Linked DNA regions of Ovis aries. The protein of the gene in region 1 purifies or fractionates together with the protein of each later gene. This does not show direct contact. Links are inferred from orthologs where the notes say so. Each region holds a gene or a part of one and is shown in the gene's direction. Other genes may lie near its edges. The genes, in order: RBBP7, SAP130, ZBTB2, GATAD1, MTF2, SIN3B and SUDS3.

Evidence for each region.
Region 2: the proteins of RBBP7 (region 1) and SAP130 purify together in Homo sapiens (affinity purification with mass spectrometry; 3 studies listed by BioGRID and IntAct, counting the BioPlex papers as one, with this or other methods). This does not show direct contact. The link is inferred for Ovis aries from reciprocal best matches to the Homo sapiens genes RBBP7 and SAP130.
Region 3: the proteins of RBBP7 (region 1) and ZBTB2 purify together in Homo sapiens (affinity purification with mass spectrometry; 3 studies listed by BioGRID and IntAct, counting the BioPlex papers as one, with this or other methods). This does not show direct contact. The link is inferred for Ovis aries from reciprocal best matches to the Homo sapiens genes RBBP7 and ZBTB2.
Region 4: the proteins of RBBP7 (region 1) and GATAD1 purify together in Homo sapiens (affinity purification with mass spectrometry; 6 studies listed by BioGRID and IntAct, counting the BioPlex papers as one, with this or other methods). This does not show direct contact. The link is inferred for Ovis aries from reciprocal best matches to the Homo sapiens genes RBBP7 and GATAD1.
Region 5: the proteins of RBBP7 (region 1) and MTF2 purify together in Homo sapiens (affinity purification with mass spectrometry; 4 studies listed by BioGRID and IntAct, counting the BioPlex papers as one, with this or other methods). This does not show direct contact. The link is inferred for Ovis aries from reciprocal best matches to the Homo sapiens genes RBBP7 and MTF2.
Region 6: the proteins of RBBP7 (region 1) and SIN3B purify together in Homo sapiens (affinity purification with mass spectrometry; 5 studies listed by BioGRID and IntAct, counting the BioPlex papers as one, with this or other methods). This does not show direct contact. The link is inferred for Ovis aries from reciprocal best matches to the Homo sapiens genes RBBP7 and SIN3B.
Region 7: the proteins of RBBP7 (region 1) and SUDS3 purify together in Homo sapiens (affinity purification with mass spectrometry; 3 studies listed by BioGRID and IntAct, counting the BioPlex papers as one, with this or other methods). This does not show direct contact. The link is inferred for Ovis aries from reciprocal best matches to the Homo sapiens genes RBBP7 and SUDS3.

Annotation. Positions count from the first base shown.
Region 1 is NC_056080.1:15,066,334-15,070,457, reverse strand, and holds the start of RBBP7 (histone-binding protein RBBP7), read left to right. Parts: upstream 1-1,324; 5' UTR 1,325-1,591; coding exon 1,592-1,739; intron 1,740-2,013; coding exon 2,014-2,158; intron 2,159-4,124. UniProt on the Homo sapiens protein: Core histone-binding subunit that may target chromatin remodeling factors, histone acetyltransferases and histone deacetylases to their histone substrates in a manner that is regulated by nucleosomal DNA.
Region 2 is NC_056055.1:117,480,446-117,483,945, forward strand, and holds part of SAP130 (histone deacetylase complex subunit SAP130), read left to right. Parts: intron 1-3,160; coding exon 3,161-3,463; intron 3,464-3,500. UniProt on the Homo sapiens protein: Acts as a transcriptional repressor. May function in the assembly and/or enzymatic activity of the mSin3A corepressor complex or in mediating interactions between the complex and other regulatory complexes.
Region 3 is NC_056061.1:76,246,035-76,250,108, reverse strand, and holds the start of ZBTB2 (zinc finger and BTB domain-containing protein 2), read left to right. Parts: upstream 1-1,274; 5' UTR 1,275-1,553; intron 1,554-1,978; exon of another isoform or gene 1,979-2,098; intron 2,099-4,074. UniProt on the Homo sapiens protein: May be involved in transcriptional regulation.
Region 4 is NC_056057.1:10,524,294-10,528,588, forward strand, and holds the start of GATAD1 (GATA zinc finger domain-containing protein 1), read left to right. Parts: upstream 1-1,495; 5' UTR 1,496-1,576; coding exon 1,577-1,834; intron 1,835-2,546; coding exon 2,547-2,672; intron 2,673-4,295. Other genes in the region: TMBIM7P (protein lifeguard 2), read right to left, coding at 956-972. UniProt on the Homo sapiens protein: Component of some chromatin complex recruited to chromatin sites methylated 'Lys-4' of histone H3 (H3K4me), with a preference for trimethylated form (H3K4me3).
Region 5 is NC_056054.1:70,329,513-70,333,012, forward strand, and holds part of MTF2 (metal-response element-binding transcription factor 2), read left to right. Parts: intron 1-414; coding exon 415-585; intron 586-3,500. UniProt on the Homo sapiens protein: Polycomb group (PcG) protein that specifically binds histone H3 trimethylated at 'Lys-36' (H3K36me3) and recruits the PRC2 complex, thus enhancing PRC2 H3K27me3 methylation activity.
Region 6 is NC_056058.1:5,999,262-6,003,478, reverse strand, and holds the start of SIN3B (paired amphipathic helix protein Sin3b), read left to right. Parts: upstream 1-1,417; 5' UTR 1,418-1,433; coding exon 1,434-1,541; intron 1,542-1,782; coding exon 1,783-1,889; intron 1,890-3,191; coding exon 3,192-3,345; intron 3,346-4,217.
Region 7 is NC_056070.1:56,874,723-56,878,222, reverse strand, and holds part of SUDS3 (sin3 histone deacetylase corepressor complex component SDS3), read left to right. Parts: intron 1-717; coding exon 718-823; intron 824-3,500.

The DNA of each region.
Region 1 (4,124 bases):
AGCAAGGCTCAGGCAAGCCGGTCCCAGGTCAGCTCTACCCAGTTCTTTCCAGCTTCGCCAGCCTAGGGTGGGGTCACCCTGGGACCCCCGCAGGTTACAAATGACTCAGCAAGGCCCAAGGCTAGGAAGAATACAAGAATGGCAATGCAGGAACAAAATCCTCTGCAGTACGACAGGGCTCAAATATCATCTTATAGACTCGAATTTGTTAACAAAGACGAAACTCAAATCAGCCTCGGGGCGCTGGCGGCCTGTGCTTGAACAGGCCGCAGGTTTAGCCTACAAGGCAGGCCCAGCGGCTTGAACAGTCGGAAAACGCCCGCGGCCTCTGCTAAAGGCCCCCTTTGCCTCCGACAATCCCACCTCGCCTCGACCAGGCCCCAGAAAAGGCCAGTCGGCTGGAGGGAGAACTTTCAGAGTGCACAGACTTATGCATGTCCGTGACTGTCAGGGAGACTTTGAGGGCACAGTAGTCTCTCGAGACTAGAAACCATTTTTCTCTCTAGCGCTGAGATTTTGCTTGGCTAAGCGGCAGCAGCCTCCCAGCCCCCCAGCCCCCCACCCCCACCGCCAAAGCCGCAGCAAGCAGCCACGTCCCGCGGCCCCAGGGCTCGCCGCCCCGGGGCTCGCAGCCCCCACGCAGCTTGCACGCCGCGCCTCCTTTCGCCCCACCCCCTCGCGCCCCCATCCGCCCCCGCGGCCTGCCCTGGGAGCGCCAGGCGAGCCCTCGCGCCTGCGCCTCGCCAACTTCCTGCCGCGGAACGCCCCACCCACCCCCAAAAGCCCGCCTCCGAACGCCGCGTTAAACCTGCCTGCCGCCAGTCATTGGTCAAAAAGACGAAGCCGTTGGCTCCGAGGCCCACCCAAGCCACCGCCTCTCACTTTTCCCAGGGCGGATGCGCCTGCGCTCAGCTGCCTGGGCGGGCTGGGAGGCGCGGGTTGAAAAGTCTCGTTCCAAGTTTGGAGAGAGAGAGAAGAGCGCCTCAGACCTCGGTACCCGCAAGCGGGGAGGAGGCAGCAGAGAAGGACGCAGCGTCTGGGGAGCTCCCAGGCTGTAAGACGGAGCTCAGGCTTCGAGAGCTAGAACTGTGTGACGCGCCTGGGAAAGGCAGGAGCGCTTGTGGTTGGGCTGCTCTTGGCTAGCAAGGGGAGTCCGAGGCGGCGGCGAGGGGCGAACGACCCGACGCAAGATGGCGAGTAAAGAGAGTAAGAGGCCCCGCGGGGCGGCGCGCGGCGGGGGGCGGTGAGCGTGCGAGGCCGCGGCACGCGCCGGCGAAAGGCGCGAATTGGCGTGAGGAGCAGGGGGCGGGGCCGGGCGCGAGGCAGGGCGCGCGCCTCGAGGGGCCTACGCGGGACGGGGCCGCGGCGCGAAGGGCTCCGAGCACTTCCGGAGCCAGGCGCGGGGCCGCGGTTGGGCCCCCTTCCCGCTACCCCCCGGCGTCACCCCCCTCTGGCGGCGGCGCTTGCTCTGCACCCGGGCGGAGGCGGCCTCCGTCGCCGGAAAGCGGGCACGGCACCATCTTCCACGCGCGCGCGTCGACCGCCTCGGGGTCGCGGCCCTTGTCCGGGGGATTCTGGAACCCGCCGACTTATGGCTGCCGGCTCGGGTTTCGTGGGAGCTGAGGCCTCTTCTGGTGGGGGATGGGGGGAGCGGGCCGATGCGTTTCTGCTACACGTGGATTCGTCTCGCCGGGTGGGTCGGGGAGCCCCTTTACATACGGGTCGTCATCTTGGAACAGGTGCGAACAGCTGTAACCGGCAAAACAATTGCGATATCTATGTAATTAATTGCCCAATATTGTATACGCAGGCGGTATTGATTTCAAACTGCAAAAAAATAAGCTTCCTGGTGTTAATATTCTCCTCGCGTTCTGGAAGACCAGTGAGTTGGTCGTGTCCAATTTAGTGGTTAAGAGAAAGAGGAGATAAGGTGTGGCCATCTCGAGGTGACCTCCAGTATAGATTTCGATCCCTTTCAGACACTTAATCGTATGGGATTTGTCCAAATTTCAGTGTTTGAAGATACTGTGGAGGAGCGTGTCATCAATGAAGAATATAAAATCTGGAAGAAGAATACACCGTTTCTGTATGACCTGGTTATGACCCATGCTCTTCAGTGGCCGAGTCTTACCGTTCAGTGGCTTCCTGAAGTGACTAAGTAAGGGTTTTTGTCAACTCTTATTTTGCATAAATTTTGCTGTTAACATGAATCTCCTAGTTTTTCGCGTCTTATACGTAGAACATAAACAAGTAATCGATTAAGCCTTTGGGTGATGTGGCAGGTGATTTTTATTTTCAAAACTGACTTACAGGGTGGTTTCTGACGTATAAATGTGGAATTAAAAGCGGACAGAGAATCTGTTCTGAGATTAAGGATATTTGTAGGATGCACCAGATACATTTGACATTTCTTGAACTTAAATGTAGACGCTGGGTTTTCTTTGGACCCCAAACTAATGGATTTCTTTAAAACTCAGTGGGAAAAGTGCACGAATCATAAGTGTATGGCTTGATGAATTTTTGCAAAATGAATACCTCTTTGTAACCAGCCCACAAGACGAATACGTTTTAATTGGCAAAGGAGAAAACAGTTTTGCAGCAGTTCACCAACGAAAAGGTGGTATAATATGATACATTTTGAGGTTGTTTTTGGTCTTCACCTCTTTGTAAAATTTCTCTGGTAATAATTGCTGACATTTGTTGAGCACATCTGAAGAGTTTTATGTCCTATTAGATTTAATACAACAGTACAATAATTATTTTTTATTATCCTCTTCTTTTTAATCGATGTGGAAATGGGCTGAGATGTTAAGTAACATGCCCCAGATCACACAGCTGGTAAGTGGTGGAGCGGGCTTTGGAATGCAAACCAGGTGGCCCCAGAGTTGAGGCAACCTCTGCACTAGGTTATGGTTCTCATACACTTGCACTTTTCCTAGTAAGAACCTGGCCATGTACTTTAAAAATGTATTAAATTTGATTGTTATGTGTATGTCATTTAATGAGGATTTATTAAACTCTAGAAGTTTTGCAACAACTTTTAAAAATAAGAGTAAATTACTTTGGTATAAAACTCATATAGTGGCCAGATTTTCCATATGAGAACATTGACTTCTACACGGTTAGGGACTTCTAGTGGACTTTTCAAAAATCTCAATGTAAATACACAGATGTGGGAAGAGGAGCCAAGAACTAAATAATGGAGACTTCTAAGTGTTGACATTTACAGCTTTGACCATCAAATGCTTAAGGGTATTGAGGTTCTGATGTAGTGCAGCACGGGTATTTGACTATGTCTTCCTATTAAGCAGATTAAGTTAAACAACTTAATTTGAATCTTTTTGATGTTTGACAGTAGAAAAGAGCCCAGGCTTTAAGGTTAGAGATCTGAATTTGAATCCTGCCCCTTGCTTCTTAGCTTTGTGAATTAGGGCAAATTGATCAGTCTCTATCCTGAAATAGTCTGGTCTGTAAATGGAGATGCTGAAAGTTCTTACAGCCTACATCTGAGGAAATGAATAAGATCACACATGTTAAAATGCTGGCTCAGAGTGAGTACACAGTAAGTGGTGACTGATGGTGGTTCTCCCACCCTTTCCTATTCAGAAATAAGTTGTTAGGGTGGAATAGCTCTGTTTCCATTTGTATTTCAATGAAAGCTGTTTAGTCACATTACCTATTATGTTTTTTGTGTAAAACACTTTAAAGATAATAAATCTGTGTTTTCTCAGCCCAGATACTACTTTTATATTAACACTTAGGAACTTAACAGAAAATACTTTATATATTCCATGGGGTTCTTTGCATACAAAGAAGTGGGATCTGGTTGTGGGATGGGCAGTGGCTCTGGGAGTGCAACAAAATGCCAGCCAGCCTGCATTCTTGTGTGTCGAAGACGGCTGAGTGGTGCTTTGCAGGTTTCTGTTTGGACTATGAAGGGACTGTGATTGTGTTTTATCACTATGTAGGACAGTAGAAATGTTGGATACTCTTACAGCCTGGCACTTTGAGAGGCAGGCCCTACTCAACCTCATCTGGCTGGTCTTCTGTATACATACAACATGCTTCCAAATGATTACTTGCACTTTCTGAGCTGTTGCTCTTAAATTCAGTTAGGTGATCAT
Region 2 (3,500 bases), on another chromosome or scaffold:
CGACTGAGCGACTTCACTTTCACTTTTCACTTGCATGCATTGGAGAAGGCAGTGGCAACCCACTCCAGTGTTCTTGCCTGGAGAATCCCAGGGACGGGGGGGCCTGGTGGGCTGCCATTTATGGGGTCGCACAGAGTCGGACACGACTGAAGCGACTTAGGAGCAGCAGCAGCAGCATAGGTATATAATCTATATATTTTGCAAGGAATTGCTCCCTCTCATATTGTTCCTGAAAATTCACTTGTTGCAGAGGTGTTTTCCGTTTCATTCATTCATTTATTCATTCATTTATTAATTCCACAAATATTTATTGAAATTCTATGTAAGATCCTATGCTAGCTCTGCTTTAAAATTGACTTATAAACAGATGTTGCTTTCAACAAGCTGAGAGTCTAGTAAGGAGATGAGGTGTGAAAAGATACTATAATATGCTCAAGCTCACAAGAGAGACTTGAGCAAAGCCATGCTGTTTCTGAGTTAAGAGGTTATTTCTACTTGAGAAGGTCGGGTTGGAGGTCAGGAATGATTTCCTAAAAGAAATGACATTTGGGAAGCATCTTTCAGAATGGATAGGGCAGAGCCATGGTAGGACTGGAGAAAAGCACATTTCTGTCTCTGAATAAAGTATTAACTAAAATATGTGCTTGAAAAAACAGAGTGGCTTCGTTTTGGTGGAAGCCTAGTGTGAGTAAGAATGCGAAGTGTGGAATAAGATTAGATCTTGCTCAGTACTAGAGAGTCTCAATGCCTGTGCAGGAGACACAGGATCAGTCCCTGAGGTGGGAGGATCCACTGGAGGAGGGAAAATGGCAGCCCATATTCCATGGGAGAAACCCATGGATAGAGGAGCCTGGCAGGCTGCAGCCCACAGGGTCACAGAGAGTCAAACACGACTGAGCACACACGCACACACGGTGTGGGTGAGAATATAAAGTGTGAAATAAGATTGGGTCTTAAAAAGGCTTGTAGTAGTAACTAGACTGCAGGTTCTATAGCAGGCAAGTGACCAAAAACTGTTGTGTAACAGAAATACCATGGGTATACTGCTCAGGAGGAAACTAGAATGCTCTGGAAATTGTCTATGTGTGTATTCTACAAAGGAAGAATTGTACTAGAACAGGGACTTTTAAGTTTACGTGTTCTATCACTTCATTATTCTTAATGCATAATAACTTACCTTTTTATTTGTCATTTATAAAACATTTTTATTATATTATTAAAATTGAAGTATTTGTTGTTCAGTCACTGAATCGTGTCTGACACTTTGCCACCGCATGGACTGCCATGCCATGCTTCCCTGTCCTTCACTATTGCCCAGAATTTGCTCAAACTCATGTCCATTGAGCCATCCAGCCATCTCATCCTCAGTCATCCCCTTCTCTGCCTTGCCTCAATCTTTCCTAATATCAGGGTCTTTTCCATTGAGTCAGCTCTTCACATCAGGAGGCCAGAGTATTGGAACTTCAGCATCAGTCCTTCCAGTGAATATTCAGGATTGATTTCCATTAGGATGGACTGATCTCCTTGCTGTCAAAGGGACTCTGGAGAGTCTTCTCCAACACCAGTTTCAAAGCATCAGTTCTTCAGAACTCAGCCTTCTTTATGGTCCAACTCTCACATCTGTACATGTCTTACTGGAAAAACCACAGCTTTGACTAGATGGACCTTTGTCAGCAAAGTAATGTCTCTGCTTTCTAATATGCTGTGTAGATTTGTCGTAGCTTTTCTGCCAAGAAATTCTAAAATTCCAAAATTGAGATATAATTGACATACCTTAGTTTCGCATGTACAGCATAATAATTCATTATTTGTCTGTATTGCAGAATAATCACCACAGGTCTGGCTGGCATCTGTCACTATACAGTTCCAGATTGGTTTTTTTCTTGTGATGAGGACTTTTTAAGATCTACTCTTAGGAACTTCCAGATTTAACTGGTATATTTAACTGTAATCATTATGCTGTGCATTATATCTGCATAACTTAATGTCTTTAACTGGAAGTTCATGCCTTCTCGCTACCTTAGCCTGTCTCACCCGCCCTCTGCCCTTGCCTGTGGCACCACCGGTCTGTTTTCCCTATCCAGGGGCTCGGTTTGTGATTTTCTGCATTTTAGATTCCATATGTATGTGAGATCAGATGATGTTTGTCATTCTCTGTGTGACTGACTTCACTGAGCACAGTACCCTTGAGATTCATTCATATTGTCACAGATGGCAGTGTTTCAGGTTTTTTTCCTTTTTAATAGCTGAGTGTTATTCCATGGTGTGTGTGCATACCATGTCTTCTTGATCTACTCGTCCACTAGTGGACATGGATTGTTTCCATATCTTGGCTATTGTAAGTAACACTGCAGGGAACATGGAAGATACGTCTATCTTTTTCCAGATTTGTTTTCTGAGAAGAAAAGTCTTGTTTGTTTTCTTTCCACAAATAGTGAGAAATCCCTTCTTTTTTTGTTTCTTCCTGGGAATGTTTGTGTTTTCAGTTCTGTTGTTGAGTCAGTTTTTAATGTACACGGTAGCTGATTGAAAAAGGACAGGTTGATTGTTCTCTCTCCCAAGTGCATATTTTAGAATTTAAAATTAATAACTACTGTATTTCAGAAATTCCTCTGATAGTGGTTCTTCTATCAATTAAAGCAAAGATTCTTGACTTGGAGGCATGGATAGATCGCAAAAGTTTGTATTAATTATTTCATAGTTGCCTGGCTCACATTTGGCTTTTAATAAATGGTTGCTTTTTCTCATTTTAATGCTATTTCTGCAGAAAGATCATCTCAAATTAGTAGAAAGTAAGGTGGAGAAAACATCAATGCTTAGAGATTTATATAGCACTTTCTTTTTAAATTGAGAGTTTAGATCTTGAACGTGGAAAAATTGTTTTGATTTCTGAGTGTTTTTCTCCTTGAGTGAGTGAGTGAGTGAGTGAAGTCGCTCAGTCGTGTCCGACTCTCTGCAACCCCATGGACTGTAGCCTAACCAGATTCCTCTGTCCATGGGATTTTCCCGGCAAGACTACTGGAGTGGGTTGCCATTTCCTTCTCCAGGAGATCTTCCCGACCCAGGGATTGAACCCAAGTCTCCCACATTGTAGGCAGACGCTTTACCGTCTAAGCCACCAGGGAGCTAACATTCTTGTCACTTTCTGCATCATCTGTAGTTTCAGCTCAGGCTCCAAACTCTGCCATCACAGCTCAGACTGGAGTAGGGGTGGCATCCACAGTCCACCTGAACCCCATGCAGTTGATGACAGTGGATGCATCTCACGCTCGACATATCCAAGGGATCCAGCCAGCCCCCATTAGTACACAGGGGATCCAGCCAGCCCCCATTGGCACCCCGGGGATCCAGCCAGCCCCCATCGGGACACAGGGAATTCACTCAGCAACCCCCATCAGCACCCAAGGACTTCAGCCTGCACCAATAGGGACCCAGCAGCCTCAGCCCGAAGGAAAGACTTCAGGTAATTTTAATTTTTTACATGGAACTTGGTATGGAGA
Region 3 (4,074 bases), on another chromosome or scaffold:
AAAGTTATACAGCTGTGTATTGTCTTCAAGAAAGAAAAATTAGTCATCAGTAGCACCAGGTACAACCCGGTTACCAAATGATACACAGTTAGCAGGGACATTTCTGTGTGTTAAATTAATTCTGTATTAAGACAGTAAGCTTGCTTGAAGTATTTTGTGAACTATGTCACAGGGCGCTGTGCGTAGGTTTCACTACATAAAATAAACCAAAATGGGTTCCACATCAAATCAAGGAGCTTGTAAGCAGGAAAGCATGCTTTAAAACCAAAAAGAAGCCTAGGGAACTGCCGCCTCCATTTCCAAACAAATGAAGCCAGTCTTAAGTCTTCAAACTCCTAGATATGTAAAACAAAGAAATCATTAAATGCATTCCTCAAAGGACAATATCATTACTTCTAAAGATACAAATAAAATTCTAGCAAAACGGCAATGACACAAAAGTAAATCTTAAGATGTTAAAAATCACCACCAAACAATACTAAATTCCATGCCTGTCTAGTTGCCATGTTTCAGGAACTCTCTGTTAAAAATATTTCAGGACCTCTAATAAATCTGACAGAATGGCCAACTCTAGAATCCACTCTAACAGTATCTCACAGACCAAAAGTTAAGTTATCTAAATAGTTTCTAGGTAACAAACATGCTTTGCAGACTTCGATTTTTCTGGACCAAAACTTCACCAGCTAAAACACAACTGCTGCCACAAGCATCAAGTTATATCCTAACAGAAACGTCTCACACCGGTCAGTAAGGAAGCAGTTCTATCTCCAGAGACACCACAAACGAGCATTTCTATTCCAGCTTGACTTCCTGACTACCACTGGCAATCTTTTTTTTTAAAAAAGAGTATTAGTTCCACAATGAGCTCCTTGATTCATTCTCAAGTCCGTTGCAAGACTTAAGGCTTAAAACGTATGCTAATTCGGGCAGCAGAGGGACAAAGGTGCGGGCAGAGAGATGTCAAGCAGGCCGCCTGTAGAAGGATCCCAGCAGGAGTTCTCCGAGCCTTGCCGGAGCATCTCCAGGAGCGTCCTACCTAACGCTTTATGTAAACATGGGGCTTGTGACTCAAGCCTCAAGCCCCAATAGGTGGAGAGAAGTTTCCTCGCCTTGGCTGCACATGGTTTGCAGAAGTTTGGCTGGAGCGTAGCGCGGAGCCTGGGTGGGAGCGGCAGCGTACTTAGTGCTGCAGGCGGCGGCGGCGGCGGCGGCGGCAGAGCAGCAGGAGGCGGAGGCGGGCGGGGGGAGGGGAGGCGGCTGGGGGGGGGGGGGGGGGGCTCTTGCCGCCACAGCTCTCTCGCCGCCTCTCCCCCCCGGCGGGAGCCGCTCTCAGCCTCTTTGCACTAGTCGCTCCGCTCTCTCGGTCATGTGACCTTAACGTAACCGGACAGGAAAAGCCCCGCCGCCGCCGCGCCGGAGACACCGACCGCGGCGGCAGCAGCAGCAGCAGCGAGAGGCAGAGGCGGCGGCGGCGGCGGGGAGCACGGCCAAGGCTGCCCAGCGGTGCCTCCTCCACACCGCCCCCCTCCCCGCCGCAGCAGCACCGGCGACAGGTAAGCGCGCACCGCCGCCGCCTCCCGGGGCCGGTGCCCACGTGCCGCCCCCACAGCCCAGGCTCCGGGAAGGCGGAGGGCGGGGGCCACCGGAGCGCGCAAACGGTTCCGGCAGCGGCGGTGGCAACAAAGAAGACGAATGACCCCCCACTCTCCAGTCCCGGGGCTTCGGGTGAAGGCAGGCGGAGGGCCCGGGCCACACGGGGACCCGGTTCTGGGAAGCGAGGGCGAGGGGGCGCCCCGCGGGGGGCGGGGGCGGCGGCGCCTGGCGCCGGGGCTCTGGCCGCCTGACAAAACCATCCCCCGGAGCCAGGCGGCGGCGAGTCGGCGGCGGCTCCATCCGGGGCTTTGCGGGAGGGGGAGGGGACGGAAGCCGAGAGGGCGGGCGGCGGAGCGGGGGAGGGAGGGAGGAAGGGGAGGGGGGCGATTCGCGTTCCGTTCCCCGTCGCCGGTCCCTCCCTTCCCGCCGCCACCGCGAAGCGCGTCCCGAACGGCGGCGGCCGGTGAGCGTCCCGCGCTGGAGCCCCGAGAGGCGGGCCCGTCAGGTGCGTAATCCTTCCGACGCCTCGCCGCCGCCTCCTGCTGCCGCCGCTGCCGCCGCTGCCGCTGCTTCTTCAGCGGCAAGGCCGCGAGCTGCGGAAGTGGGTTTGGGGGAGGGGAGCGGGGAGGGAGGGGGAGGGGAGGGATCCGGTCCGACCGGAGCAGGCCCGGCCTCTCTGGCGCTTCTCCCAGCTGCAGCGGCTCCTACAGCTGCTGCCGCTACTGCTGCGGCTCCGCCTCCCCGCTCGCGGGCGGGGGCGCGCACGCGCGCTTCCGGCCTCTTCGGGTCTCGCGCTGTCTCCCGCTCTCGCGCGCGCTCTTCCCCTCGCCCTGTCTGGCCACCTCCCCGCCCCCGGCGCCGAGCTGTTGCGCCGGCCGGGGCGTTGCGCACGGCGTAGGCGTCGGCATTGTGTTAAACTCCGCGGGACTTGGGCGAGCGCGCGCGCGCACGCGGGACTGAGGGTGGCGGAGAGCGTGAGGCGCGGCCCGAGTGCGTCGCTCCTCCTCTCCCCTCCCCGCCCCTTTAGCTCCCTCGGGGCTGGGGGCGGGGCCTGAGTGCCCGGCGCCGCGGCCCTGCCGGGCCCCCCTCCGGTCCGGGCGGTCCCGCCCCGGCCCGGCCCCCGCCCCTTGAAGCGGGGCGGAGCGAGGCTGACGGGGCGGCCGTTGGGCCGCTCTGGGGCGGGCGGGGCAATGCGGGCCTCCTTGGGCGCTGCCCGGGGCCGCCCGCTGCGGCCTCTGCAGCCGGTGTGGGCTCGCTGAGCGGCGGCCTCGAGCTTCCGCTCCGCGGGCGATCTGCGCCTCGGATAAGACAAGACTCGCCCAGGGATGCGCTGTGGTTTCTTGGCTGCTTGGCCTTGGGCCGTGGGACCGGCCTCCGAGCCGCGCTCTCCGCAGATGTGGCCGTCACACCCGGATAGGACTCTGCGGAGGGGAGGTTGGGGCTCGGAGTCTGCTTCCCGGGGCCAGAGTCGTTTTCTCTGTGGCGAAACCCCCAAACCGTGAATTTTTAAACAAGGCTGAGAACTGGTAATGGCCGAAAATGCTCTAAGAAGCAATGTTGTTGTCACTTTTAGCTGGTAATGAATTAAGAGGGCAATGAAGAAGGCAAGGGCAGCAGAGCAGGCAAGAAAGTGACCGGGTGGAGTGAAAATGCAGTTATTGCTACGCCATTTACTGCACGAACTTCATCTGCTGAACTCCTAATTATGCCCTAGGGAAATAACCCAGACCCGTTGCTCCCCCCGCTGTCTGCAGTGTTCATTAGCTCTTCATCTTACAGCCCACTTAGAGTGTGACTCTCAAAAGTCTATTCATTTCCATAGGTTATTGTTTTAGTAAAGTAAAGCATTAAAAAGATCGGTGCCCTGGGGCTCAAACAGAACTCTGAGGTGCTCTGGATTTCCTTAAGTGGGCTGCCCAGTCCTCTCTAGGATGATCTCTGTGTTGACCCATTACCCTAATGGGTCACTGAAGTAGGGTGTAAATACCAACATCATTTTTAGTCTGAGGGGCTTGACATTTTAATAGAAAATCAGAAGTAAGTTTTAAACCCTCATTTCTCTGATTTATTACAAGCCAAATTTAATTGTTAAAGTATATTTTTATTTTGCATTCCAAGTAATCTTGTGTGTCCAGGGCGTTTTCAAACTGCTAAAAGTAATTTTAAAGACGCTTATGACTAATACTGCATTCCTTTAAACTGGGCGTTTCTCACTTAATTTGTGGTTTGTAGAAGTTTATTTTCTAGCCAAAGAATTGACCTGCTATTGAAACCATCGCAAGATCTCAGAGTACAAGAAGTGGTATAACAGTGGTATTAGTGTCGAAAGCGCAAGCAGTCACCAGTGGAGTCCTGGTAGAGGGTGGCAGAGAAACCACCGCTAGAGCTTTGCTGCGCAGACCAGCTGCCTGCTTGCCAATTTTAAAGCTTTTATTCAAAAAGGATGTAAATAAATTGTGCTCCCCAAACTCTTCAACTGGA
Region 4 (4,295 bases), on another chromosome or scaffold:
TAAGGCAGTCAATACAGCTTTCTTCTTCTTCCCACACCCCTCCACCAACATATTCATCAAGACGTGTGAGAGAACTTCAAGAGTAGGAAACCCAGGATCACGAAGAGAGGCAGGCAACCACCACTCCACTGAGAGAGGCTGGGTAAAGACTCATTTCCCTGGCCTGGCTGGTACTGCCCAGCGGCATTAATTGAGAAGGCTGGATTCTCATGATGCCCTTGTCTTAGGTCAGCTCTTCCCAAGTGCGGTCCAGGGAGCTCCCAAGACACTTTCTGGAGGTTCTCGGGGCCAAATCTGCCTCCCAACAATGCCAAACCAGCACTATCTCCCCGGCCTAATGCTCAGAGGCTATGGGACTCAAGATGACACCGCCACTCAAGAGCCAGTGAACGTATGCGTGGTCTCCAGGGGTTTAAAGTATGTTTCAATTCCTAATACTCAAATGTCCCCTATAAGCAAACGTATATGGGGGTGTAAATTATAATTTTAAAGAGTGTAAGGAGGTCCTAAGTACGAGAGCCAGACTTGGAAAATTAAAAATACAGGCTGCCCAGTTAAATTTGAATTCAGATAAACAACGAACATTGCATAGGATACATTGGCGTTAGTAAGTTATTAGTTGCTTATCTGGAATTTAGATTCACTTAGGACACGACTGAGCGACTGAGCTGAACTGAGGCATTTTATAAGCCAATGGTAGGCCTAAAAGGCCGAAAAGCTCGTGAACCTTCCCGCTGCTGCTGCTGCTGCTGCTGCTGCTAAGTCGCTTCAGTCGTGTCCGACTCTGTGCGACCCCATAGACGGCAGCCCACCAGGCTCCCCCGTCCCTGGGATTCTCCAGGCAAGAACACTGGAGTGGGTTGCCATTTCCTTCTCCAATGCATGCAAGTGAAAAGTGAAAGTGAAGTCGCTCAGTCGTGTCTGACTAGTGGCGACCCCATGGACTGCAGCCTACCAGGCTCCTCTGTCCATGGGATTTTCTAGGCAAGAGTACTGGAGTGGGGTACCATTGCCTTCTCCGAACCTCCCCGCAGTCCCAGTAATTCCAGGGAAGGCACTTCCGGTCGGACGAGCGGCCAGTGTGCGGCCCCACCCATCACCGGAAGCCCCTAAGGCCGAGGCCAGGCTGTCCTCCCAGGCCCCGCCCCGCCCCGCCCATCACCGGAAGCCCCTAAGGCCGAGGCCAGGCTGTCCTCCCAGGCCCCGCCCCGCCCCGCCGATCACCGGAAGCCCCTAAGGCCGAGGCCAGGCTGTCCTCCCAGGCCCCGCCCCGCCCCGCCCATCACCGGAAGCCCCTAAGGCCGAGGCCAGGCTGTCCTCCCAGGCCCCGCCCCGCCCCGCCCCGCCTCCTGGCGCTTCGGGCCGCCGAGGCTGGAGCTGGCTGCGGAGCGGGCGGAACCGGCTTCCTGCCTCCAGGGGGCGGCGGCCGCGGCCCGGTCCCGGCTTGGGCAGCTCGGCGCCGCGCCCGCGCCTCTCTTCTGTCTGTGGGAGTGGCAGGCCGGCCCGCGGGCCGCCGAGGCCGGCGGTCGCCATTCCCGTGTCGCTGCGCCCGCGGGGGCCGCCCGAGCCGGCCACCATGCCGCTGGGCCTGAAGCCCACCTGCAGCGTCTGCAAGACCACGTCGTCCTCCATGTGGAAGAAGGGCCCGCAGGGGGAGATCCTCTGCCACCACTGCACAGGCCGGGGCGGCGCAGGCGGCGGGGGCTCCTGCCCGGGGGTGGCCGGCGGCACAGGGGGCGGCGGCGGCGGCGCAGGGGGTGGCTTCGGCGCCGCGACCTTCGCCAGCACCTCGGCCGCCCCTCCGCAGAGCAACGGGGGCGGGGGCGGCAAGCAGGTGAGCCCCTGCGGCCCCTCCCGCGGGCGGAGGCCGGCGCGGCGGGCGGCACCCTCCCGTCCGCGACGAGAAGGTCGTCGTTGGTTTGGCCCCTTATCAGCACCTTTTCTCATGAGAAGTTTAAAGTCTAGAGAAGCAGGAAGAGGAAAACCCCCTCAGAAATCCTTCCCCTGTGATACTTTGGGTAGCAACCGGACATCTCAGGGTACATACGTTTACACAGAGATGTCTACGGGGTCACGGCTACTGGACCTCTTTCCCTGTTAATAAAGTTTACTTTGTCATAATGTCATGTTATTAAGGTTATCAGGTCATTTTCAATAGTAACATGTGTTCCGTTGCAGGAGGTGGCATACCACACCCATTCTCTAGCTTAGGAGAGTTGAATTTTTAAGGACTTTTGTGTTATAAACGCAACCGATGAATGGGCTTACCCTGGCATAAACCGACTCCTCTTGCTGCCCGTTGCCCTTTTACAAGTAGTTCACACCTTTTTTGGAGTCTGGAGATGTTTGCCTGTGGCTCTCCGTTTTTAAATTAAGCCAGTTCGTTTGATTATTACCCAGCATGAAAAGAAAAGTTGCACTCTTACTTTATTTTTGAATGTTCGTTTAAAGTGCATACTCTGGGATCCTTGTAAGATGGTTGTATCAGGACAGCAACCTTTCTACACTTTTTATTTCTCTTTTTTTGTTCTTTGTTTATGTAACAGAGTAAGCAGGAAATTCACAGGAGGTCTGCTCGGCTCAGAAACACTAAATACAAATCTGCTCCAGCTGCTGAAAAGAAAGTTTCCACTAAAGGGAAAGGGAGAAGACATATTTTTAAATTAAAAAATGTAAGATGATTGTGGACAGTGTCTTGTACTGTAATTGTGGCATTGTGTGTAGTGTGACCAACCACCGCCTTCTGGCATTGTGTGTAGTGTGACCAACCACCGCCTTCATCTCTCACCATTGAACTTGGACTCTGCTCTTGGCAGCTCTTCTGTAGCCTTCTGGGGACTGATCCAGGCTTTCAGAAAGGGAAGGAGCTCTTTTAGGAGGCTTACTGTTATAAAGTTAACGATATCCTCTTTTCCTTGTTTTAGTTTTTTTTTCCCCCTGGGGAACATAAAACATGATTCTAAAAGAAACCTAAATCTTGAGCACATTTTATTGGGTTCTCTATGCAAAAGATGAGATGGAGTTACAGTTCTTGGTATGGGCATGGTATTTTTTTTCCCATAGAGCTCTAAGTAAATAATAACACTGGAATTCATTCAGTTCCGTATTTACTTGTTATATGGCCCCAGAAAAATGTTTCTTACTGATTTACAGTGATCAACTTGATGAATATGAATCAAAAGTTTTACTAAATGTTTATCTCTAAGAAAATAGATCATTGAAAGACTTGTGCTGGGATAACTGAAAGCTTATTTTTGGTTTTGTAAATACAAGGGACAGTGGTCAAACACACTGGGCAAAGCATTCGATACTGTTTTTTGGGTTTTTGTTTTTTAAACCTCAGTATGGTACTCTGCTTTCAGAACAGAAATGCTTCACTCACCAGTAGAGGCATTTTCTGAAGTTGGGTGTATTCATTTAAAAAACTCAGAGAGGCCTTGCATTATATTCTTGTGCAGATTGTGGATTCTTTCTCTTGAGAGTAAAGGGAAAGGGAAGTCACTCAGTCGGGTCCGACTCTTTGCGACCCCACGGACTGTAGCCTGCCAGGTTTCTCCGTCCATGGGATTCTCCAAGCAAGAATACTGGAGTGGGTTACCATTTCCTTCTCCAGGGGATCTTCCCAACTCAGGGATCGAACTAGGGTCTCCTGCATTGGAGGCAGACACTTTAACCTCTGAGCCACCAGGGAAGCCCCTTTCTTGAGAGTAGTTGCTTCTAATTTATTTAGGATTTTAATAAATTTGTTTTCTAAAATGGGATTATTGACTAGACAAAATATGTGAACACTTGATTATAGTTGTACACACTTAAACACCCTTTTCCTCTTATGTATGGTGGAATATGTTTTCTGAAAGTATTTTAATATCAATTTCTCTGGCAACCACTTTCTTCAGGGATATCAAGACATATTTGGGAAGGCGTAGTTACTGTGTTGTGGCGTAAGAGTGTGTATTACAGCTTAAGAAGGAATTTTGATGATTGAGTGGTGGCAAATTACTAGCAACTCCCAAGAAAGCGTCCTTTGGCCTTGGTTCAGAAAACTAGTTAGAAAACTAGTTCTGATTGTATTATCATAGCTATAGTTAAGTTGAGATGGAAAATGTCTTTGAGGAGACTTGTTTGTTATTTCCACCTCTGTTGTGCTCAGGCCATTAAAGCCACAGATACTTTTTTAAATTAGATTGTTATGTGCAATAAAGCTCTGAGAAGGGTTCTGTTAGCCACATTATCAGGAGCTTGTCCTTTGATTCTCAGCAATTTTTAAGCTAAAGGTAACAGAAATAACAGCAGAA
Region 5 (3,500 bases), on another chromosome or scaffold:
GTTTCTCTCCTCACCTATTCACTCTGCAATAGAATTCTGTTTTCCCTAAACCTTTTTTGAGGTGTTTGTAACAGATAAGACTAAAAATGTGGAAAAGCACATTGAGACCAAAAGAGATATCACTCTGTACTCTTCTTTCTTTAAAAAGTTAGATGCTACGTTTTGAAAAGAAAAGCGGACATGTGTTCCTAGCGGACATCTGTTCTTCCTTCTAACACTATTCCTCTCTCCTACTCCCCTGTCATATCCTACCGTGGACTGGCTCTGGGGCAGATAAGAATCCAGTAAAGCAAAGGGAAAAAACAAGAGCAACGGGGTAGTATTGGGTAGACTTTCATGTGTTTTACGACTGAGGGTCTTCCATGTATATGTGTTCAGTTTTTAAATTTTTAGTTAATTGTTTTTTAAATTTAGGTTTATGTCTGGGAAAGAAATAAAGAAGAAGAAGCATTTGTTTGGGTTGCGAATTCGTGTTCCTCCTGTGCCACCAAATGTGGCTTTCAAAGCAGAGAAAGAACCTGAAGGAACCTCCCATGAATTTAAAATTAAAGGCAGAAAGGCATCCAAACCTATATCTGAATCAAGGTAAAAGTTGATCTGTGGGTTAGTTTTTCTCTTTAGCTCATTTGTAACTAAAAATGTATGTTACTTAAGCCTCATTAGTATATTTGGAAGTACAAGTGGCAGTGACCCTGATTTGTTATCCTATTTAAAATTTCTCGCTTGAACAAGTTACAAAGAGTTAATGCTAGATGTTTATTTATTTACTATAGATCTAAGGCTTTCCAGGAATAGGCCCTATTGATTTTGTTCAGCATAAGTATCTATTCATTTGTTTGTTCATTTCTCATTCGTTTGTTCATTCATTCTGTTTATCAGGCAACTTACTGTCTAAGTGCTGGAGATATAATAAATAAGACCTTCTTTCTGCCCTGGTGGGGTTTACATTATAATGGGGAAGAAAGGTGGTAAACAAAATAATTACAGATCATGTTAATACCATTTAGGAAATAGCAAACAGATTTAGACTGTACTGGGATGGATAGAGATATAGGGGTCTGCTTTAAGAAAGAGGCTTAAGAAGGCTTGTTTATGATAATATTGAAGCTGAAACTTTAAAGATTGAGAATGACCTAACAATGTGAAGAATAAAGGGAAGAATACTTCAGATAGCAGAAATAACAAGTGTGAAGCTATGAGGCATGTTCTAGGAACTTTCAGAAGGCTACTAAGGTGTGAACAAGGGCTGCAGAGAGTAGTATTGGGTACTGGAAAGGTTGGGTGGGGCTTGGTCATGTGTTTTGTAGACCTCATAAGGAGTTTCGGTTGTTTTCTCAGAATAATGGGAAGCTATTTAAAGATGTATGTACGCTGAATTATCTTTTAAAATACTTCTCTGGATCTGTTTGGAAAGCAAATCTATAGAAGTAGAAACAAGAAAAAATGAAGACTTTCAGTTTTCTAGGTGAGAGATAATGGTGGCTTGTGCAGTTGTAGGTGATAGCAGTCAAGTAGAGAGAAAATAGATTCAAGATCTCCACTGGGGGCATAATTTGTTGGCTTTGCTAATGAATTAAAATTTTAAAGGAAGGGCAAGATAAAGTTATACAATGCCTAGATACCTTGTTTGAGCAACTAGTGGGTGGTCATGTCTGTTACCAAGAACTGGAAGAATAGATTTTGATGACGTGAATAAAGCATTCTTCCATTTCAGACTCATTTAATTCAAGATTCTTATGAGGAATATCTAAGCGATAATGATGTTAAATACAGGCAATTGGGTGTGTTCAGTCAGGAGCTCAGGACACATGATAATAAATTTTGAAGTTGATTTCTAAAACCATGAGAATGGATGATATTACCTAGAGAGAGAAAAGAAGAGAATGTGGCCCAGAATAATGTCCTGGTATTATTTAGAGATTTGGAAGAAGTGAAATAAATGTAGGAGATGGCTAGAAAACGATCATTGAAATAGGAGGAAACTAGGAAAGTTTGATGTCATGAAAACCAAGTGAAGGAGAGTGTTTGAGAAAGATATGGGTCTATTAAACAGTACTGAATGTTGCTGAGAGGCAGGTTAAGATGAGAGAAAAATGTTTATTGGATTAGATAACATTTTGTTATTAGTGATTTTGACAAAAACTATTTTTCTTAAGTGTTAAAGGTAAAAGTCAGATGGCAGTAGGACAATATGATTGAATCCAGCACTGCTCAACTTACTGTCAAAACTGGTCTTTTTCTACAATTAGGGACATGGGAAGATTCAAAATAATGATGATGACAGTAATACAGGAAAGGGGGAAAAAAGGAAATACTTGTTAAGAATTTTGAAAGAGAATGAAGAAAGTGGGAAGGGTATGTGTTGTCGACTCTCAGAAGTAGTTTCACTGTATTGTTAAGGGAGGGAAGTAGACAAATAGAATGGAAGCTGAATCGAGTGATGGTTTTTTAAAAATAGATATAAGACAGTTGTAACCTGTTTCTGTATGTCAGTGGAGGAGAATGATACAGAAGAAAGAGAGGTAACTAAAGATATTGTAAAGTCTTTGAGAAGACATAAGAGACAGGATGTGGGAATCTAAATGTGGGATTGACCTTCTAAAGCAGGACTTAACATCTTTCTGTTGAAATGGAGAGAAAAAGAAGTGAAGTCGCTCAGTCGTGTCCGACTCTTTGCGACCCCATGGACTACATGTAGCCTACCAGGCTCCTCTGTCCCTGGGATTTTCCAGGCAATAGTACTGGACAGTGGAGTACAAATGCTAATTCTGTGATGACTGAAGTTATTGCCTAGTAGCTTCTGTTTTCTCAATGAAATTATGAGGCAAAGATAGCTGAGAGAGAAATTTAAGGAGCCAATACATAAGGTATGAGTTAATCATCTTGGTGAATAAGAAAAAAATAATTACAGAGGGTTGTCAGTGCTGTGTATCCATTTGAGTTAGTAATAAAGTATATAGTACTTTAAGGGTTTTTTTTTATGAAGGAAAATAATACTATTCCTGTTACTTTCAGATTTTTATTATTAATCTTTTTCTAGCAATTGTTTATATTATAAATTAGAAAAAAGATTTCCACAATCTTTCTTGTTCCTATTTTGATTTTGATAGGACATTCTGTCTGTGGTAGTTATCAGATTTTCACTTGATGTGATCAGATAATGGTTCAACTTTCTCTAAAGGCATTTTCAGTTCATTCTGGGCCCTATGTATGAATTTCTTTAGTCCAGGGGTCCTTTGTAAATGTTATGTTGATCATCCTGCCAAAAAAATAAATGTACACCCCACCCATCTTATCCTTGGATAAGATTTTGGATTATAGTTTTAGTTACACTTTCTTCCTCTACTTCTCTACTTTCTCTTTCCTCGTACTTCCACCTTTATTTCCCCAAACGAGTTTGGTGAGGAGGGATAGTCATTTCTTGTTTTCTCCATTCACCTCTTTCTAGCGTATTATATAAATCTGTTCCTTTACCTTGTTTTTTAATTCAGTTTTTCCTG
Region 6 (4,217 bases), on another chromosome or scaffold:
GTGGCCATGCCCTCCTCCAGGGGATCTTCCTCACCCTGGGATTGAACCCGGGTCACCTTCTTTGTAGGCAGATGCTTTACTGTCTGAGCCACCAGGCAAGTCCCAATTTTACTCCTGACCCCTGGCAAACGATGCACCCGTTGCCAGCATATTCTCAGCTTTCCTGCACCTCTTCACAAGTAGAGATACCAAATGCAGATGATGTACAAGAGACCGTGGGATGGCAGAGGAGAAGTTGGGTAGTTTCTTGAGAGAGAGGATATTTGGGTTGTATTTTGCAGGATATATAGGGTGCTTTTTGTGTAATGAAGAGATTAATAGGGCTTCCGGCTGACGCATGGGGTCAGGGAGCAGCCAGGCTAAGTAGGCATTGACAGGAGTTTCTGCACAGATAGAAGGCAGCTTACTTGGGTGGAAAATTCTGCAAGAAAAGGTTCACAATTTAGGTTCACAATTGATTGCCTTCAATGCTGCATACAGGTGCTTAGATTTAACTCATAAGAAGTAGGAAGACCTTGGAGATTTGGAAGCAGTTGTGGAATGATCTCAGTTCCTGATAGCACTGTGACTGGAAAAACTGGTTAAGAGGCTCCCAAACTGGTCCTGTGGGGAAGCGATGGGAACAGGACTAGAGAAGTGAGGAGAGGAGGATCAGGACTAAGTCAAGAGCAGTTTAGCAGGGACTTCCCTGGTGTTTCAATGGCTAACACTCTGCATTCGCAACACAGTGGGCATGAGTTCAAACTCTGGTCAGGGAGTTAGATCCCACATGCCACAGCTAAGAGTTTGCATGCCACAACTAAGATCCCGCATGCTGCAATCAAGACTTAGTGCAGCCAAATAAATTAATAAACATCTTAAAAAAAAGCATTTTGGCAACACTTCAATGCAGGGCCTTGTATTGGGGTGCTGTGTGTCCATACCCCCAGTTGTTACATCAACCCTAGAAAGCAGGGGTCCAGAACCCTATTTCAGTAAATATATCAGGCTGTGTAGATCTTAGCATCTGTAGAAGCTATTTACTCCGCTGTCAAAGCGCAAAAATAGCCAGAGGTGCCCAGTAAACGAGTGGGCATTCCAGCGTTCCAGTAAACCTTAATTTTACAGACACTGAAACTTAAATTTCATAGAATTTTCACGTGGCACGGAGTAATCTGCACTACCGGAGTTTTTCCAACTTTTAAAACTGTAAAAAGCATTCTCAGCTTACTTGTGGGGCCGGACAAAAGCAGAGGCCAGCCCTTGGTTTGCCCACCGGTGGTACTTGAAGCGTTAGCAGCCTTTCAGTTTTTTGGGTAAGATCCTACAGCTAGTCCCTCCAGGAGCTTTGCCGTCCCAGCCGCCGCCAGGCCACGCCCTCCGGGGCGGAGCCAGCGCATGCGCGGCCCACCCTCGGGCGGGGGGCGGGGCGGGCCGCGGCTCCGAGTTCCAACATGGCGCACGCTGGCGGCGGCGGCGGCGTCGGCCCTGCGGGCCGGGGGCTGAGCGGCGCCCGCTGGGGTCGCTCGGGCTCCGGGGGCCACGAGAAACTGCCGGTGCACGTGAGTGGTGCCCCAGCCCTCCCTGGGGAACCCGGCCGTCCAGTCCCCGGAGGTTGGCGCCCCCTGCCAGGGCCCCGCCCGACCCTGGCCCTGCGTCGGCCTCCGCTCCGCCGGGCCCTGGACCCGCGACCCCCTGCCTCCGCCCCTCGGAGCCCGGCCTGCACCCCTCCCGCCAGGGACCCCCGGCCCCGGCCCCTTCTGCGCCGACCGCGGCCCACCGGGACCCTCCCCCTCCCCGCAGGTGGAAGACGCCCTCACCTACCTGGACCAGGTGAAGATCCGCTTCGGCAGCGATCCTGCCACTTACAATGGCTTCCTGGAGATCATGAAGGAGTTCAAGAGCCAGAGGTACCTGCGGGGCCCCTGCCCGGGGGCCGCCCCAGGGCGCGCCCTGGGCCGCAGTGGGCCTGAGCGCCGTGGGAGCCGCCAGCCCGCGCCGGCCCCCAACAGGGTGACCTTGCGCAGGTGGTGGCTGCTCGGAGCCTCGGTCCTTCTTCCAGACAACGGGACGGAAGGGTGCCCTCCTTGTGGAGCTATTGTGGGGATTCCTGGAAGGAGGGCAGGGATGCGGTGAGGCGAGTGAGGCGGTCAGGCAAGCACAGGGTGGGATCCTGTCTTTACTCAGAGTGTCGGGTTTTAAAGATAAATTTTGCTCGTCCGGGATTTTTTAAAAATTTAGATCCCCGCTCCCCCCCCCCCCCGCCCCAAGCACTACATGAAAATGTTACTTATCCAGATTAAGGAATGTTTTGGCACTTTCTCCCCCTCAAATCTTAATCCCCAAGGTGAGTGCCTTACTTGCCTCGCCCTCATCCCAGGCCTGCTTGGGAAATAACGCACACAAAATGCTTAATAAGGAACCTGGCACTTAGAAGGCATTTAAAACACATTAGCTGTTTTCATAGGCACAGGATCAAGGGGGTGAGAGATGTATCAGGGACCTCTCGATCCCCTGTCTTGTTTGACAGGGGTCTTGCTGAGACTTAGAGTGGGCCAGGGGTTCACCCAGGTTCACGTTAGAAGCAGAGGCGGGACCAGGACTCCATGCCTTCTGATTTAGATTTGTATCAGATCTACACCGTGGTGCTTTCCCCACAGAGGAAGTAATAACGGCAGGGCTCACCTGGTTTCCTTCCCAAGCCCGATGGTAGACCTTGGCCCTGACTGCAGCCCCGAGGGAGAACTCTATCTCCTCTCTCCTTGAGCTGTTACGCAGTTTCCATACGTGCAGGGCCTTTGACATTTATGCATTACCGTCAGTTGCTGGGAACAACTCCTGGGAACAGCAGATCGCTGATTCGTATGAAGTGAATTTGTCTCCCTGTTTAGAGGACTTGGCTTCCTGTCACTTCTTGGAGCTCAGGATGTGCAGCTGGCTCTCCTGACGTTTCCAGAGCCTAGCGCACGTGCTTGCGGTTTTTTGGGAGCTGTGCTGTGCGCCTGTTGTGTGGGGTTTTGGCAGGAAGATACAGGGAGCCCAGGCCTGGCTGCCTTGGTGGTGGACCACCGTCTGCAGTCACACAGTTTAGGGTGCGTCGTTGTCTGTTGAGCAGCCTGTGTCCTGGGACGGGTAAGAGAGTCAGAAGTCAGCTCGGTTCCCAGTCTGCCCCCCAAGACCCTCCTGCCCACTCCTGGTCTTCTTTGTTGCAGCATTGATACTCCGGGTGTCATCCGGCGAGTGTCGCAGCTCTTCCACGAACACCCTGACCTCATTGTTGGATTCAACGCTTTCCTCCCTCTCGGCTACAGGATAGACATTCCCAAGAACGGCAAGTTAAACATACAGTCGCCTCTGTCGAGCCAGGTATGCAGTGGTGTGAGTGACCTGGACTCAGCACCGCCCACCCTGGCCCTGGGGGTACTCATGCCAGGCAGTATATCCCGTGTGTTTCATTGGCAGGGAAGCAGGTGAAGGGCCGATCTTCTTGAAATGCTTCTAGCGCAAATCAGAGTGAATTGAAACACCTTCCCCAGCAGCCTCTGCATCCCAGATTGATCCACTTGGCAGATTTAAATCAAGAGTGGGTGTGTCTGTATGTGTCAAGGAGGCATTCTCTGAACGTAGTTTTATGTCCAGTCACAGTCAGAGATGTGGATGGACTTAAGAGTCTGTCATACAGAGTGAAGTAAGTCCGAAAGATGAAAACCAGTATTGGTATATTAGGGCATGTATTAACATGTGGAATCTAGAAAAATAGGACAGAGGAACGTAGTTCCAGGCCAGGAATGGAGACTCAGACATAGAAGACGGACGTGTGGGCACAGTGGGGGAGGGGAAGGTGGGGTGAATTGGGAGATTAGGTTTGGCATAAACACACTACCATGTGTAAAACGCTTAGCTACTGGGACCTTCGGTGTGTAGCGCTGGGAGCTCAGCTCAGGGCTCTGTGATGACCTAGAGGGATGGGGTGGGGTTGGAGGAGGAGGGAGGTCTAAGAGGGAGGGGGTGTGTGTGGCTGATTCACTTGGTTGTACGGCAGAAACTCAACATTGTGAAAGCAACTGTGTTCTGATTAAAAAAGATACTGGCAGTCGCAGCCACCAAGGTCTGGGTTTGAGGCTCCCCCTCGGAGCGCTAGGCGGCCCCCGCTTGTGCTCGGGCCGGTCATCCCTCTGAGCACCCTGGCAGCGCACAGGAGGAAGTGGTGGAGACGCGTGTGTGACCGGCCGTCTTTG
Region 7 (3,500 bases), on another chromosome or scaffold:
AGGCCCAGTGTTTAGGGTGCTTCATTCAGAGCAGCACTCAAGGGTCTTTGCTAGGCTGCAAAATAGAACTCTGAACTGGCAAGGCATTTTTGTTGTTGTTGTTTTTAAACATGGCAATTACTTACACATCCGTCCATGAGGTGAGTCTTGTGAAAGGAAACAAGATTCTTGCCACTCTAAATAATTCCCTCCTGAAAGCCACTATGGTCCGGAGAGAAGTTCTGAGTGTCTGAAGGCCTGGTGGGGCTGGTTGTGAATTTAGATGATTTGATCCCATTTTAGTTATCAGCGCTTTTAGCTTGACTCGATACATACCCCAGTAACCTGCTCTATCTCTTGATAAATATTTCTAGACATTTAATTTTTATAAATTTAAAGAGATTTTTCCAGTTCTTGCCCACTGGAGCTTCTTACTGTCAGTGGTGTTTTAGTCCTACCCCCAGTCACCTTGGGCACATCCTTAGCATGCCTGAGCCTCAGGTTTCAGTTTCTCTTCTGTGGGGAGGTTAATCTTTGCCTTGCCTGCTCGCAGAGTTGTTTTGAGGATGTGATGTACAAGAATTTTGTTGAATTTCCATTTATTACAACGGTAAGAACTTGAGGATCACGAGGACCCTTACCCCCTTTTAAATAGCATTTCACTTAAAGCATGTTAGTGAATGGACTCGCATGCTTGTGACATGCTTAGTCATGGGGATATCTCTTTGGTTCCTCCAGCATCCCCATCCTCTCCTGAACACTTGCCCACCACCCCTGCAGAGTCTCCAGCCCAGAGATTTGAAGCTCGGATAGAAGACGGCAAACTGTACTACGATAAAAGATGGTAAGTTCTGTGTGAACATAGGTTACTCATTAGTATCTCGAAAGAACCGTTTGGGAAGAGGGCCAGGTCTGTCTCTAGTTATTATTTCAGAGCATGGCTGCTGCTTAACTAAAGGTGGAGGGAGGTTAAGTGTGTCAGGAGTTTTGGATATCTGCTGCTTGTTAGATCTCTGAAGGCAGTGTTCCCCAAAACATGTTCTTCTGATCATGCTGCTGCCACCATGCTAGAACCTGCAGGCTTATATCTTTTGTGGTGCCCCTGTAGCCTGGGGTCAGGGTTTATGTCCCCCTCTGTCTCCCCTTAACTGGGCCCTCTGCATGCTGAAATTAATAGGGGTTCTGTGGAAGAAAAGATTCTGTGGTCAGGTGAGTGTGGGCCGTGGCTGTGTTAACTAATAACTAAGATCAGTGGGTTTCGTCATTGTAGCACTCTGGGTCTTCTGATACGCTAATGTACACTGTGAATTTATGAGATGTTACTCAGTACTGTTTATCTGACCAAGGTACCCTTTTACACAGGCTGTCCTGGTGGCTCAGTGGTACAGAATCTGCCTGCCAGTGCAGGAGATGTGGGTTCAGTCCCTGGGTTGGGAAGATCCCCTGGAGGAGGAAGTGGTGTCCCACTCTAGTATTCTTGCCTGGGTAATCCTATGGACAGAGGAGCTTGGGGGGATCGCAGAGAGAAGGACATGAGTGAGTGACTGAGCATGTGTGCACCCTGTTACACACCACATCCTGCAGCACAAGTGTTTCAGGGAATGTGCCTGGGAGAGGTGTAGCCTGAACCATTACTAGTTTAGATTGAAGATGGTTTGAAACCTTCAGGCCACCATTGAGGTCTTTGGAAGGAAATAGCAAAACAATATGAAAAACCTTATTCATGCATTTGCTCTTTTTGTAAAGGTTTCCTACTGTTTGCTCTGTGACTGGGCATCTGCTAGGTGTCAGGTCACCTGGACCCTGCCACCTTTTCTTTAAATTCTCAATTCTTCCTTTTATTCATTGCCCATGTGTAGGCATACTGTTGGTCAGGGTAAGTCATGGTGGACATGTTTTCATGCTGCCTTTCTACTTGTTTGTATGGAGAATGTTTCCCTGGGTTATTGTAGGGTCTCTGTAATTGCCATTTATAATGGTTATATAATGTTTTGAGTTTCAGTCTTTAAACCAAAATTCAAAAATTAGTTATGATTATTTTGAATGTTTTGAGGTTTCTTTAAAAAAAAAAAAAAAAAGCCCCAGTATTAAATGTGTGAAGTTGGTAAAAATGCTCAGAGACCTAGTGGTGCCTGAAGTAAATCAGTTCCACCCGTGAGGTTACAGTGAGTTAATAACCCAGTAGAGGATGAAGGCTGGATCTGTCTGTTAGCCTGATCTTGGTGACTTCTGCTCCTGTCATTTGATTCTTCGGTGTCCTTCTAAAAGGCCAGTTGTGTTGTTTTCTAGGGTTGCTTGTCAGAACACATCACCACTAGATGGCAGGCCCTGACAACTCAACACATCAAGGGGCAAAATAAGATGAAAAATGTTTCTAATAATGAAAACCAAATAACCTTTAAAGATCAAGCCCACACATAAGAACCATCTTCAAAAATGATGAGATTTATCACTAACATCTTTACGAATCTGTGAGTCCTAAAGCCCTGTGATATTTCAGATGATGTTCATTTTGTCATTGCGTCGCTTTCTGTCTTCCTTCTCCTAAGGCTTCGTCCTCAGATTTACAGGATATGAAAAGGCAGTAAAATAAAATTCTTTGTTTTTCTAAAGAAAGGATCCACAGTGACGGGGGTTTCACGGTGTAGACCGTGGTCAGGTGGGATGTGTCCAGCCACCTAAGCATTTGGAAGGCATTTCACTGTCTTTCTCCCAGTGGCAGCAGAGATCTTTCAAGTGTCTGGGAGCATCTGGTAATTTCAGTGACTTTCAGGCTGCTTACTCTGTGGTTAAGTATGATGACTGTTGTTTTCTGCATTCTTTGTGTTCCTCTTCTGTGGCCTTGCTGGTCAGAGTTCACGTCACATCTGCTGAGAGAGGGCCCCTCCCAGTCCGCTGGATCTGGCAAGTGTTTGCCAGAATCCTGGCTGATACAGTCCCAGTGCCGGACTGGCCTCTCACGTCTGACCAGGCTCATGATGTTTGGCTCCGTGTCCTTGTCAGTTTGGAGGCTCTCGTTCTTCCTTCTTTCTCAGTAGTCCTGGCCTATGGCCGAGAGGTCTGCTGAACTGCTTTCTGCTCTTGCCGGTGGCGTGAAGTATTTTTGTGAAACGGTATTTCTGGCAAAACACATTTCATTGAGTTTTAAATGACTTCAGCACAAGGAGTGTGATTTGGGCTGCCCATCTTGGCCTGAACACTTATTTATCAGGCTACGTTTCACTTGGGAAGATGAGCATCTGCCCTTGCCTCTGGGTATACTGCTTTTAAGATATTTTATGTCCTGCTGGAGGTTTTCCTCACGTTTTGATTTGTACTAATGACCCTCCTTAGAAAGCACTGTGAAAGTAGATGAGATTTTAAGGTGACTCACTGATGGTGCCAGTGGACTGTATTTTCTCCCCTCACTTTTAAATCTGGGGCTGCTAAAGTGAATCCAGTGAAACCACCCACGTGCACGGGTGGATTTAACCTTCCGGCCTGGCTTTTATTAATAACTCAAAGCAGTGACTCTTTCTTTA